2 linked regions of the Macaca mulatta genome follow. The protein of the gene in region 2 interacts with the protein of the main gene of each other region in a pairwise test. Links are inferred from orthologs where the notes say so. Each region holds a gene or a part of one and is shown on either strand. Other genes may lie near its edges.

Region 1 (7,420 bases), on a different chromosome or scaffold from region 2:
TTCCCAGCACCGCCTCTTTCATGTCCAAAGACTTGGGAGCTGCTCCAAGGTAAGCTTCCCAGGCACAGACCTTGTTTGCTTAACCAAACAGGGTGCCATTAACACCTGCAGCTCTACCTGCTCACCTCGGATTCACCTTATCCAGGTACGAGTCTTTGGCATAACTGCCACCCAAGCCTGTATGTAGGCTTCAGAGTCAAACATGCAACACGGAGCTGGGAATGTGGAGATCGATAAGGGAAAGTTTCTTTCTGATCCACTCAAAGGTTCTGCTGGCTAATGGGTTGTTTATGGTGTTGCTGGATATTTCTAAGACTCCAAAGACTCAAATATTCATACATGACACTCCCTTCAGCAAAATTCTCTTAAGTACTCCGGACAGCTAACCTCAGCAGAGCCTCAGTGTACAAATGGTTAATGACCATGGAAAGCAAACTGGAGGCCGGGTGAGGTGACTCATGCCTATAATCCCAGCAGTTTGGGAGGCTGAGGTGGGAGGATTGCTTGAACCCAGGAGTCTGAGGCCAGCCTGGGCAATACAGAGAGACCCTGCCTCTACAAAAAAATCAAAAACTTAGCAGGGTATGGGGGCACGTGCCTATAGTCCCAGCTACTTGCAAGGCTGAGGCAGGAGGATCACTTGAGCCCAGGAGTTTGAGACTGCAGTGAGCTATGTTCATGTTACTGTACTCCAGCCTGGGTGACACAGTGAGACCCTGTCTCAGGGAAAAAAAAAAAAAAAAAAGGAAAGCAAACTGCAGTCACAGGAACGGAGATAGCGCAACCCAACTCTGCTTCTTTCCCTCCAGGGACGATCACTTGATGGCCATTCCCAGCAGGAGTGACTGGTGGGCACTTACTCCAGTGGTTTTTCCTGAGAAGCTGACAGTCCCTATAAGTAAGCAGGTGCAGACAGCCATACAGACACTCTATCAAAAGCCTGACTCTCCACACCATGATTTAGAGACAGATGCTGAGCCCAACCTCAAGGTTTACCTGGATGGAGTCATCATTTTTTTTTTTTTTTCCGCCAGACTCCAGAGATCTGAAAGGTGAGGGAAGTTACGTTCCACTAATTCCTGAGTACTCAGAGTGTGGTATATGCACCAATCACTGAGAGCTAGTTAGAAATGATGAATCTAGGCTGGGCATGGTGACTCATGCCTGTAATCCCAGCACTCTGGAAGGCCGAGGCAGGCAGATCACTTGAGGTCAGGAGTTTGAGACCAGCCTGGCCAACACGGTGAAATCCCCGTCTCTGCCAAAAAATACAAAAATTAGCTGGGCATGAGTGGCGTGTGCCTGTTGTCCCAGCTATTGGGGAGGCTGAGGTGGGAGGATCGCTTGACCCCGGGAGGTGGAGGTTGCTGTGAGCTGAGATCATGCCATTGCACTCCAGCCTAGGTGACAGAGTGAGACCCTTCTCAAAAAAAAAAAAAAAAAAGAAAGAAAGAAAAAAGAAAGAAATGCTGAATCTAGTCCCCACCCCCACCTACAGAATCAGAATATGCACTTAAATGAAGCCCCCAGTTATCCTCAAGCACCTGGAAGGTTGAGACGCAGTATTCTGCTCTGGAGCAAAAGGGTCCTGCGATGTGACCATTTCAGCTTCTCTGCCCTAGCAGAGGTGGGCTGAGGTGGGCTTTGGAGGAAGAGTTCACACCTTGGCTAATCGAGGCCGACCAGGCTTGCTTGACTTTAGTGGAAGTAAGCCGGGTTTCCCTGGCTTAGGGACTGTGAGCTGTACCTGGATGACCCAAAGAGTGAGCTGGCTTTAGGCTCCTGGCACTGCTAGCTTCTTCCAGTGATCTCAGAAACATGCTATGCCCTGATGCAGAAGCCCCTTCCCCACTCCCCCTACTGTTAAAGACCTTCGGCCGGGCGCGGTGGCTCAAGCCTGTAATCCCAGCACTTTGGGAGGCCGAGACGGGCGGATCACGAGGTCAGGAGATCGAGACCATCCTGGGTAACACAGTGAAACCCCGTCTCTACTAAAAATACAAAAACTTAGCCGGGCGAGGTGGCAGGCGCCTGTAGTCCCAGCTACTCGGGAGGCTGAGGCAGGAGAATGGCGTGAACCCGGGAGGCGGAGCTTGCAGTGAGCTGAGATCCGGCCACTGCACTCCAGCCTGGGTGACAGAGCGAGACTCCGTCTCAAAAAAAAAAAAAAAAAAAAAAAAAAAAGACCTTCAAAAGGAGGGGGATTTGCTGTGGTCTGTCAGCCCCCTGCCTACTCCCCACTTCCCAACCCAAAGTGAAAAGTGGATTCAAAGTTCATATATTTTATGTTTATTATTTATTTTAGAGACAGGGTCTCGCTCTGTCACCCAGGCTGGAATGCAGTGGTCAATCATAGCTCACTACAGCCTCCAACTCCTGGGCTCAAGCGACCCTCTGGCCGCAGCCTCTGTAATAGCTAGGACATCTTTTTTTTTTTTTTTTTTTTTTTTTTTTTTTTTTGTAGAGATGGAGTCTCACTATGTTGCCCAGGCTGGTCTTGAACTCCTGGCCTCAAGCAATTCTCCTGCCTCGACTCCCCAAAATGCTGAGATTACAGGTGTGAACCTTGGTACCCGTGCCAGAAGTGCCTATAAACAGTATCTGTGGCTTCCAATTTGACCCAACAATCCAGCAATAAAAGGCGCAAAAAAGGGCTACCTGTGCCTTCAGGCCAGCCTCAGGGCCCACCCTGAACAAATCCAGCAGACACTTACACCCTCAGTTGAAAGAAGTCCAAAATTGTCAGGAATTGTCCTGGTAGACCATTGTGACAGGGACAAAGGAGAACAGCATGAACTACAAAAGACCCAGCAAGGGAAAGAGGATGAGTCGGGAGTGGCAATAAGAGCCCCTGCGAGCTTTTCCTTGGCTCATTTCTAATAGAAAATGAAGCATTCCTCCCTTCTCTGCCTGGTTGCTATTTCTTGTCCAATCTGGGAAAACGGTGTGACAATGGGCAATAGACACGTGTTCAAGCTCTGGGGCCTCAATGCCCGGCTCTGTAGAATAAGGCGGCAGGGCTGGACAAGATCCCTAACCGTTCTAACAGTGTATGTTTTGGATCAAATAGCTGAGGACCTCGGATCCGGCCGTGCATGCTGCTGGTAGGACAGCTGCCTGAGAAAATAAGCATGTGGCCCCTGCCCGCCACCGAGTGAAGCGCCAGGATCTGTCGCGTTTTCGAGTAGTTTGGAAAGCAGCGTGGAGGAGATTGAAGGGAGAGAAGTCAAAGGGGTGGGGGCAGTACGAGGATGGGAGGGGAGTGGAGAGCCACGAGGATTTGTTTCATCATGCAAACAGGCGCGTAGGTTTCATCAGCGTCTGTGCGCTGGGGTTGCGGGGCTGGGAGGGAATGCCAGGCTCCTGAGGGCAGCCTGAGGCTGCCCCCCCACCCCCGCACCCGTGCCAGCTCAGCTTCCTCTTCCTCATCCTCTCCCAGGGAGGTCACACGGTGCCTCCTCCTCTCCCCGGACAGAAGAACGTGTTTTTCTGCACAGCCCTGCCCGTGGCGCCAGGCCCCCCCGCGGAGATCCCACTCGCGAAAATGGGGAACGTGCCACAGGTGCCCGGGAGGCTCTGCTGGAGCAGGAGAGCACCCCCACATCCAAACCTCCGTCAGAGCGCGCGTGTCCAACGCAAAACTAGGGGTGCTTCGGAAAGGAAAAAGGGCCCTGCAGGAATCATTTATCCCAACAGATAATACCCATCCCATAAAAACACCAGGCCAGGCCTCTCCTGGATCGTGGGCCACCCTGACTCCGCCCTATCCTGCCTCGGGAGCGCCCCCAACACCCACAAGGGGCAGCACAGCTCGGCATGTGGCAGTCCTGGAAGAGTGCGTGTTTGTTAGGTGTCAGCTGTCTGACACCTAACAGAAAGAGGAAACGAACGGGGCAGTTTGCAACCTGGGTCTGGACGACGCACTCAAGAGGGCAGACGGGCGGCCACTTCCATGACCCTCGATATCTCCCCGATGCCCCTTCTCCGTTCTTTCCAGTCACAGCGCCCTTGAGCCTGGACACCCGGTCCAATCCGCGATTCCCGATCCTCCCGCCCGCCCAGGAGCCGGCCAGCTGCGTCCCCAAGCCCGCGCCTACCTCCCGGGGTGGTGCTGAAGAGTGTGCCGCCGGGGGTCGTGCTGTAGTCCCCGGGCGGGAGCTGCACGCCGTCGCCGAGCACCACCCGGCGAGTGGCGGGGATGGCCCGACTTGGGGTCTGGCTGCAGCTGCTGCCCCCGGACATGGTCTCCTGTGCGCTGCACCAGCGAACCTCTCGCTGCCCTCCCGCGCCTCCAGCCTCGCTCCGCCTAGCCGGGTCCCGCTCAGCCTCGCCCCGTCCCGCCCCGCCCCAGGACGCCCCTTCCGCCTCTCCCGCCCACGCCCCTGGGATTTGTAGTCCGCGCCGCAGCCCCACCCAGCTCCAGGACGTTGCTTCCACGTGGGATCCCCCGCAGCCCCCCGACCCACTCACGCCTGCTCACGGGCTCTTCCGCACGGGCGCCGGCGCCGCCCCGCAGCGACTGCCCCTCTGTCCTGTGTCCCTCCCCGCCACGTTGGCAGGGATGGGGGTGGGGGTGGTGGGCGGGATAGCTCGCCTAAATTAATCCTTGGCTGGGTTGGGGGCGGCGACTCAGGACCGCGCGGAGATCCGAGCTGACCCGGCCCACTGCAGGAAGGCCCGGTTTCTGCCTTAGTACATCAGGCCCGGTGTACCCTCCGGCACTCCCTGTTTCGTGCCTTAGTTCCTCAGATGAGAAAGTGGGGATTGAGTGGTCATGCTCACCCCCTCCCCCGCCTCAATTTCTTGACCTTGATGGGGGTGGGGATGGTGGGGCTAACAATTCTGTTCCCGGCCTTTAGACAGGGTGTGGGAGGAGGAGTGAACCAACCAGCGGCGTCCTGGGAGTTAAATTTAGAGCTAGGGGCGCGGGGGTAGGGGGAGAGGGAAGGGCGTAGGAGAGGGGTAAGAGTTTGTCAAAGAGGTTTCCCGATAACTCCTGAATTGGGTCCAACGCCCACCCCACTGCCTGAGATTTAGTAGGTACTCCTTGGATGGATGGATGGAGGGATGTTCAAGGGGAGAGAGAAAAATGCAAGAAGGACCGAGGATGGAAAAGCTTGTTGGGTTTGAGAAGTTCTTAGCATTGTGGGCACATGTTGTGGGGAAGAGGGTGAAGAAAGTTTAAAAGGGAAATTGGGTGGTGCACCTGTAATCCCCACTACTCAGGAAGCTGAGCTGGAGGATGCTTGAGCTCAGGAGTTTGAGGCTCCAGTGAGTGTGATCACACCACTGCACTCCACCCTTAGTGAGAGACCCTATCTCTAAAAAATATATAATAATTTTTTAAAAAGGAAATTGGGGTCAGGTCATTGAGTTTTTCAAATCATGCCAAAGTGCTTGGACTTTGTCTTAGAAGGGCAGGAGAGATCAGAGATTTTTTTTTTTTTTTTTTTTTTTTTTAAGGCTGGAGTGCAGTGGCGCGATCTTGGCTCACTGCAAGCTCTGCCTCCCGGGTTCACGCCATTCTCCTGCCTCAGCCTCCCGAGTAGCTGGGACTACAGGCGCCCGCCACTGCGCCCAGCTAATTTTTTGTATTTTTAGTAGAGATGGGATTTCACCGTGTTAGCCAGGATGGTGTTGGTGTCGATCTCCTAACCTCGTGATCCACCCGCCTCGGCCTCCCAAAGTGCTGGGATTACAGGCGTGAGTCACCGCGTCCAGCCCAGAGATCTTTTAAGCAGGGGGATGACATGATTTGAGTTGTTTTTTTTGAAAGATAACTAGTAGCCAGTGGAGTTTCAGGATGGGCCAAGGAGGGCAAGGCCTGAGATAGGGAGACCTGTTGAATTTGGTCTCACTTTTGAGGGAAACTTTAGGCCTACAGTGGCTTAAGACAGTAGCCGCCAGCTACAGGTGCACATTGAGCACTCCAAATGTGGCCAGTCCAAACTGTCACAAGTTTAACATACACACCATATTTCAAAGACTTAGCATGAAAAAAATAATGTAAAATGCCTGAATAATTTGTTTCTATATTGATTGTATGTTGAACTGATAATATTTTGAGTATATTGGGTTCAGAAAATTACATTAAAAAATTAATTTTGGGCCAGGTGCAGTGGCTTACGCCTGTAATCCCAACACTTTGGGAGGCCGAGGTGGGCAGATCACGAGGTCAAGAGATCGAGACCATCCTGGACAACATGGTGAAACCCTGTGTCTACTAAAAATACAAAAAAAATTAGCTGGGCATGGTGGTGCGTGCCTGTAGTTCCAGCTTACTCGGGAGGCTGAGGCAGGAGAATCGCTTGAACCTGGGAGGTGGAGGTTGCAGTGAGCCGAGATCACACCACTGCACTGCAGCCTGGTATCAGAGCAAGACCCCGTCTCAAAAGAAAAAAAAAAATTAGGCCGGGCGCGGTGGCTCAAGCCTGTAATCCCAGCACTTTGGGAGGCCGAGACGGGCGGATCACGAGGTCAGGAGTTCGAGACCATCCTGGCTAACACGGTGAAACCCCGTCTCTACTAAAAAATACAAAAAACTAGCCGGGCGAGGTGGCGGGCGCCTGTAGTCCCGGCTACTCGGCAGGCTGAGGCAGGAGAATGGCGTAAAAACCCGGGAGGCAGAGATTGCAGTGAGCTGAGATCCAGCCACTGCACTCCAGCCTGGGCGACACAGCGAGACTCCGTCTCAAAAAAAAAAAAAAAGAAAAAAAAAATTAATTTCGGCCAGGTGCGGTGGCTCACGCCTGTAATCCCAGCACTTTGGGAGGCCTAGGCGGGTGGATCATGAGGTCAGGAGTTCAAGACCAGCTTGCCAAGATGGTGAAACCCTGTCTCTACTAAAAATACAAACAACAACAACAAAAAGCCGGCCATAATGGCCGGCACCTGTAATCCCAGCTACTCAGGAGGCTGAGGCAGAGGTTGTAGTGAGCCGAGAACCACCACTGCACTCCTGCCTGGGCGACAGAGTAAGACGCTGTCTCAAAAAAAAAAAAAAAAAAAAGAAGGCCGGGCATGGTGGCTCACGCCTGTAATCCCAGCACTTTGGGAGGCCGAGGCGGGTGGATCACGAGGTCAGGAGATCGAGACCATCCTGGCTAACACGGTGAAACCCTGTCTCTACTAAAAATACAAAAAATTAGCCGGACGTGGTGGTGGGCGCCTGTAGTCCCAGCTACTCGGGAGGCTGAGGCAGGAGAATGGCGTGAACCCGGGAGGTGGAGCTTGCAGCGAGCCGAGATGGCGCCACTGCACTCCAGCCTGGGTGACAGAGCAAGACTCCGTCTCAAAAAAAAAAAAAAAAAGAAAAAGAAATTAATTTCGTCCAGGCTGTGGATCACACCTGTAATCCCAGTACATTTGGAGGCTGAAGTGATCAGAGTGCTTGGGCGCAGGAGTTTGAGACCAGCCTGGG
Region 2 (6,883 bases):
AAAATCATTTCCATATACATTGCAATAATCGCTCCTATGTCAATTCCACCCTTCCTTCTCTAATAATAGCTACTATTTATTCAGCACCAACTAGTATACTAGGGACTATGCTGGGTGCTGGAGTCCCAATGACGAATGAGACAAACACTTAAATAAAAGGATGTCCATAATACAGGCATGTACAAAGCTTCACCTCAACTGAGGAGGCAGGACCAACCTTCACAGAGAAGCCCAGTCTTCAAGGATGAGTGTTCTAGTTCCAGAAGAGCAGAAGCAGAGTGGGTAACATGTTAAAGGTATGGAGGCCTGAAAGAATTGCCTTTTTTCAAGGAATGCTAACTATGTAATAAGGTATAGGGAGAACGTGGTATTTTAACTGGAACATATGGAAAAGATTATTACTAGGGAAAAAAGAATGAAGGCCTTTACTAAGAAAGCAGCAGGAATGAAGAAGGGACAGATGCAAGAGGAGACAAGCTCAAAAGGACTTGATGATTAAGTATGAGTGTGACGGAGAAAAAGAATACAATACTTTGAGGTCCTAGTAAGCTTCTTGGGTGGCGTGGTAAATGATAATGCCATTATGGAAGGTAAAGAAGAGAGGGAGCCAGTTTACCAGGGCATTCAGGTAGCATGAAAGAAAACCGAACCTGTGGGCTCTGATAAGATCATCCAGGGGGAATAATAGCACCAACTGAGGGGAGAGGTTGAGACTCATGGGAAATAAATCTCAGGGAGGAATCTTGTCTACCACAGAAAACCCAGACGAATATCCAAACAGGGAAGTATAGGAGGTTATAAATAGGTCAAGCAGTGTGAGGACAGATAAAAAGACACTAGACTTGACAAGACGGGCAGTCTCCGCTTATCTTTCCCAGAATATCCTAAGAAAATTGTAGGAGCTAAAGATAGAGATCACTGGGCTAAGGAATAACTGGGAAGGGAGAAAACGGAGGCTGGAGGCATTTCAGAAGTCAGGATGCAAAGGCATCCAGGTGGTAGGAAAGGTTTTATTTGGTCTTTCCTTTTAGGCTAATGAAGACATTTACCATGTTTATACAAAGAAAGGAAGCACTAATTGGTGATGTAAGGATTTTAAACACAGCCTGGGAGAGAAAGGAGGAGGGATCCAGTGCACAAGTAGAGTTCAGAAAAGTGCCTTAGAAACTAAAAGGGTGTTAAAAGAGCAGGGGAAAGGATAAATACATGTAGAGATAGAGGAGAAATGTTGCCAAATTCATTTTAAATTAAAGTCTATGATCAAAAAATAGCACCTGAAAAATGAAAAATCCATTGGGAATATTCTAAACACAGTGTAGCAGAACCTTAATTCTGCTTATACTTACTTATACTAAGTAGCCAAAGCTTATTTAGTTTAAAAAAAATCCATATAGCTATTCTAACAGTCAGTGTTTAAACTGATTGGTGCTAATTAATCTAAAACTATGAGATTCTGTGTTAAAAAAAAAAAACAAAAAACACCTCACCACCTATCCATCACCATCTAGAGCCATCCTGGGTTCATATTTTGAACAGAAAAGAAATTGTGCCTTCAGGTTTTTCTTTCTCCCTGGTAAGTTCTATTTATGTGCTTATGATTTTAAAAATTTATTTTAATTTATATTTTTAAATAAAAAATAAAAAAAAATTTCTACCTTTTTTACTGAAGTCTATGATTCTTGTGAGATTTCACAACTGCTGCTCATGAAAAATTTATAATACAGAAATATTTCTTTTTGAAATAATAATTTCTGAGGAATATTACTGGTACTTAGGTTCTTTAATTCTTTTTGTTTTTCCTTCCTGAACCATCCTGACCCCAAGCCTTATCTTGCTCTCTTCCCTATTTCCCAGTATCATTTAACTGAGAATTTTTGTTTTTATGGCATTCATACATTCCTCAATTTGACCAAAACAACTAATTCATGTAAAGTTATGGTTTGGTTAGACATCGTGTAAGTAAAATGACAGACTGCTTCTTGCTAGGAAGATATTCAACATTTAGGGCAGGTTCTAGTTGTAGTAACAAACTAGGTCTTGAATAAGTTAATTACTTAGCATAATGATAATTCCATCACAATTAAGATTACTGCCCAACTTTAATCTGTAATAAAATATAATGATCTAATTAACCCTTACAATGTCTTTGAGAAATAAAAGGGCAAAATAAATAATTACATATCAAATGAAAACTCCTAAAATATAACTATGTTTTGAAGCACAAGTAAAAGGTTTCTAAATGCCAGAATTACCAAAAGTTAGGAAATAGAAAGGGCAAATAAAGTGTCATGTTACAGCTACAACAACTCAAATAAAGCATGCAGAAACAACTAGGAAACACTGAGAATTTTAAATCTGATGAAGGAGCCAGCAGAGATTACCCAGCATTCAGCTCACCATTTGAGACCAGCCAAATGAATATGTGACAAGTCTCTTTTAAAAATCTTGCACTTTGAAAAGGAAATGTGTTATAAGTGTTACTCAATCTGGAAGTTATGGTGAGCTTGACAATGTCAAAACATGGATTTAGAGATTCTCAATGAACAGATATTTTACCTTCAATAAAATCTCCTTTCATAAAAGGAAAAAAAAGATTACCCAAATTCTACCATCATTTTGCCACTGGGATTATTTTCCTTTTGAACAATTTGGATGACCATTATTATTCCTGGACTTGAATGTACATGATTCTTATAAACCCAATGTCACACTAAGTAAAACTGCAAAAATCATATACATCTTATAATTAAAGTTACTATTTCTTTCAAAAACTAAAGTTCTATTAGTATTACTTTTAATGTTCAATAAATATTTTCTGAGTGTTTAATATAAGGTAGCCATTTTTCTACAAATTGGAGATTCAACAATAAAGCACAAAAATTTCTGTCCTTAGAAAGTTAATATTTCAGTATGGGAAAACAAACAGTAAATGAATAAATGCTTAGTAAAGTCAGATCATGGTGAGTGCTATGGACATACATAAAGCAGGGGGGACAGCAAATGCTGATGTATATATTCAAGGAAGACCTGCTCAGGTAACAGTGGAGTGACACCTGAAGGATGTAAAAGAGTGAACTATGCATTTTTCTGGGAGAAGAACATTCAAGGCAGAGGGAATACAAAGAGTCCAAGGCATGTGCATACTTGATGCTTTGAGGAGCACTGAGGCCAAGGTGCCTGGAGCTGCATGACGAGGTGGGACATGGTAGTACCTGAAGTAGGACAGGGAGTCTAGGCCTGCAACTTTTAAGAACTTTGACTGCTCTGAGTGGATGGTTTTGAGCAGATGAATGGTAGGAGTTGACTTGTTTTAAAAATAATCATTCTGGCTACTTTATGGGGAACAGACTGTAGGGATGCAAGGATATAAGGAGAATTTTTGTAGATGATAGCTTCAATCCAGGGAAGAGATGATGGTGGCTTGGAATAGGGCGTTAATAGTAGAGATCAAAAGAAGTGGTCAGCTTTAGATATATTATGAAGGTAGGGTCTACTAGATTTGCTAATGGATTGGATATGGGATCTAAAAGAAGAATCAAGGATGACGTCAGGGTTTTTGGCCTGAGCAACTAGAAGTATGGCATTGCCATTTACTGAGTTGGGGAAGACTGAAGGAGAAGCAAGTTTGGGAGGGAAGACCAAGAATTCAGTTTCAGATACGCTGAGTGTGAGCTTTAATTAGATTTCTAGATAGAGATGTCAAATAGGCAGTTTTATGAGATCACGGGGAGTTAGAACATCTAAGAAAGGAGAGTGGTCCAAGGAAACTTCTTCCCCTTAAAAAATATGAGTGTAAAGCTAAAATCATAAGCAACTTTTAAGGCATAGACTGAAATAGTATAAAATGTAGAAAACCTCCCATACCTTGAAAGCTCACCTCAACTGCCTTCTGCCCAACTTAACATTTTAAAGATATTTTGATACACATACAAATCTAAGAAGCCCCAAGAAGCCTAAGAAAACCCCTTAGGGGTTACCTTGGCCCATGGGCCTCAAAAATAAGAAATTAAGTTTTTCAATGGCATAGCCATTACAAGTTTTATCTTAAATTTGCTTGAAATTTAAGAATACATTAAAACATTATAAAAAGAAATATAAAAAAGCATTTTTTTTTTTTTTGAGACAGAGTCTCACTCTGTCACCCACGCTAGAGTGCGGTGGTGTGATCTCAGCTCACTGCAACCTCCGCTTCCTGGGTTCAAGCAATTATTGTGCCTCAGGCTCCCAAGTAGCTGACAGTACAGGTGCGTACCACCATGCTCAGCTAATTTTTGTATTTTTAGTAGAGACGGGGTTTCACCATGTTGGCCAGGCTGGTCTCGAATTCCTGGTCTCAAGTGATCCACCCGCCTCGGCCTCCCAGAGTGCTAGGATTACAGGCGTGAGGTCCTGCACCTGGCCTCTGAGTTGTCCTTTTATGACAGCTTCCAATTTTGTATTCACTATGTCCAAAGTTGTATGCTTCTTCCCTGAAAAAAGTTTTTTATATTCTCAAATACAGTATTATTCTTCTCAGTCAGTATTATATATACAGTATAAATACAGTATTATATTCCCAGTTAGACAAATACAAAACGCTGCATCTATACAGGTGGTATCAAGATTTAAAAGGATTTAAATCTTGCAAGTTATACTTGAAAAAATTCATATGGAAAAGAGTCACTCAATTGCTCATTTTGCATACTGCCAATACCTGAATACTGACTATCTTGAACAAAACTATGACTGTTTGGATTAGTACTGTTTGATGGGCCCGACTCATTTATCATGCTGTTATCTGCACAACTGAAGTCAGATCCCTCAAATGCATCTGATTGTGAAACAAAAACAGTAGTATTGGAATTGGCACCTGCCGACATACTGGAAGAGGACATCTGATGGAGCTGTCTCAAGTCTCTTGGGTCTAACACTGAATTACATGAGGGGTTTTCAAGATTCATGCTCAGAAGTCTTGGATTATCCGTCTCTTCCATGCTATCATTGCTGGTTGCCATCATATTCACAGAACAATTAGACAGCATGTTGTGATCAGAAATACCATATAAGTCTGCTGGTGGCATGGATGACGCTTCCATTCCAACTATGTCATCGGCATTGTTATAAATGCAAGCGTTAGAAGCATTTAAATCATTCCCAATAGGTATTCTCAGGAATGGTGGGATACCTTGCGAATTAGAAGGAAGTGTCCCTGTTGAAAAACTACTCAGTGGGTTTGTATTGCCTGAGCGTGGGGTGGGGTGGGCCACTGATGACCAGCTTGAAGAAGGAAGAGGTGTCATTGAGGCATGATGTGACAATCCACTTGAGATGGGCCCAGGTGAGGGATAGTAGGATTCTGCTTGACTTGAAACCCCTGTAGGCATTTCTCTCACAACTGCATCATGAGAAAACAAGTTTGGTTCTGTGGGAGGAAAAATTTGTTTTACAAAATTAAAAGGAACAAAATTATAAAAAGTATTTCTAAATTAAAATTGCATAAGCACACAAATATATATAAAGAAAAATGTCAGGGAAACCAATGTAACATTTCAAATAAAAAAGTGTTAAAAGCACTAAAATTATTACACGAATCCAAAATGAAATTCTGTAACATACATACCATTTTACAAATACAGGTAAAATGATTTTTGCAAGTTACTTTGGCATATGTAATGTCACTCCAGTTAAATATGAAAATCTAGTTTCTGAGGCTCTATAAAGGTATTTTTGAAAACTAAAAGATAAATATTAGAATTACAATTAATGGGACTCCAAATAGCCAAAATCATCTCTTAGGAGAAAATGGAAGGATGGAGAAAACACTCATTAGGGATAAGAAAATACATACAACTTTTAAGATATATTACGACAGAACCCTAAGAGACTATAAAATTCACAGTCAGAAAAAATTACAGAAAAAATTAATTCTGTATTTATTTACATATTATACAAATGCTTTATGAACTAAACCAGGAAAAAGCACTGATTTAAGAATGTACATGGGGGAAAAAGACTTCTAATTAGCCCTTGGTTGAATTATCTAAACTAGGAATTGGTAATTTTTTTTTTCTGTAAAAAGTCAGATTGTAAATATTTTAGGCTTTGTGAGCTATATACAGCCTCTGTTCGAACTATTCAACCCTGTTACCATAGTGTTATAAAAAAAAAAGCAGTTTAGAGATAATATTTAATCAAATATTCATAGCCATGTTCCAGTAAAATTTTATTTATAAAAATAGGTAACTAACCAAATCAATAACATTTTTTTCCATGACGCAATGTAACTAATAAAATCACTACCATATGAATGACATGTAATTTCTTGAACAATAAATTCCAAAAACACGATTGGTTTCTAACACAACCTTCAGAAGTCATGCTTAATTTATTCTATACTGAAAGCATGAAAAATTTGGAGAGAAAATTTTCAAAGAAGCAGTTATTCATTCCTAAAAACAGAATTCCAATATATTGTGCACAGCACTGGTCTTTCTGATCACAAGAAATATGCTATAGGAAATAAAATACCTTTTTTGAAGTATCTTCCTTCTCCAATTGAACCGAGGAGACCAGGTCTTGGTCTCTCAGGAAAATTAACTGTTAGGATAAAGTTTTTCCATTATTAAATGGCATCTGAAAAATAACATTATCAGTTAAAATCTGAAAAACTGGCAGGGAGTGGTGGCTCCCACCTGCACTTTGGGAGGCCGAGGTGGGTGGATCACCTGAGGTCAGGAGTTCAAGACCATCCTGGTCAACAAGGCAAAACCCCGTTTCTACTAAAAATACAAAAATTAGCCGGGTGTGGTGGCACACACCTGTAATCTCAGTTACCCGGAAGGCTGAGGCAGAATTGTTGAACCTGCAAGGGGAGAGGTTGCAGTGAGTTGAGACTGCCCCACCG

Evidence for each region. The genes of interacting proteins can lie anywhere in the genome.
Region 1: the proteins of REL (region 2) and EIF4EBP1 interact in binary tests that used the Homo sapiens proteins (3 or more experiments, as listed by UniProt). The two-hybrid records come from large-scale screens. The link is inferred for Macaca mulatta from reciprocal best matches to the Homo sapiens genes REL and EIF4EBP1.

The regions. Positions count from the first base shown.
Region 1 is NC_133413.1:39,970,241-39,977,660, reverse strand, and holds the start of EIF4EBP1 (eukaryotic translation initiation factor 4E-binding protein 1), read right to left. Parts: upstream 4,373-7,420; 5' UTR 4,243-4,372; coding exon 4,098-4,242; intron 1-4,097. UniProt on the Homo sapiens protein: Repressor of translation initiation that regulates EIF4E activity by preventing its assembly into the eIF4F complex: hypophosphorylated form competes with EIF4G1/EIF4G3 and strongly binds to EIF4E, leading to repress translation.
Region 2 is NC_133418.1:63,857,236-63,864,118, forward strand, and holds part of REL (proto-oncogene c-Rel), read right to left. Parts: intron 6,577-6,883; coding exon 6,508-6,576; intron 5,402-6,507; coding exon 4,629-5,401; 3' UTR 1-4,628. UniProt on the Homo sapiens protein: Proto-oncogene that may play a role in differentiation and lymphopoiesis.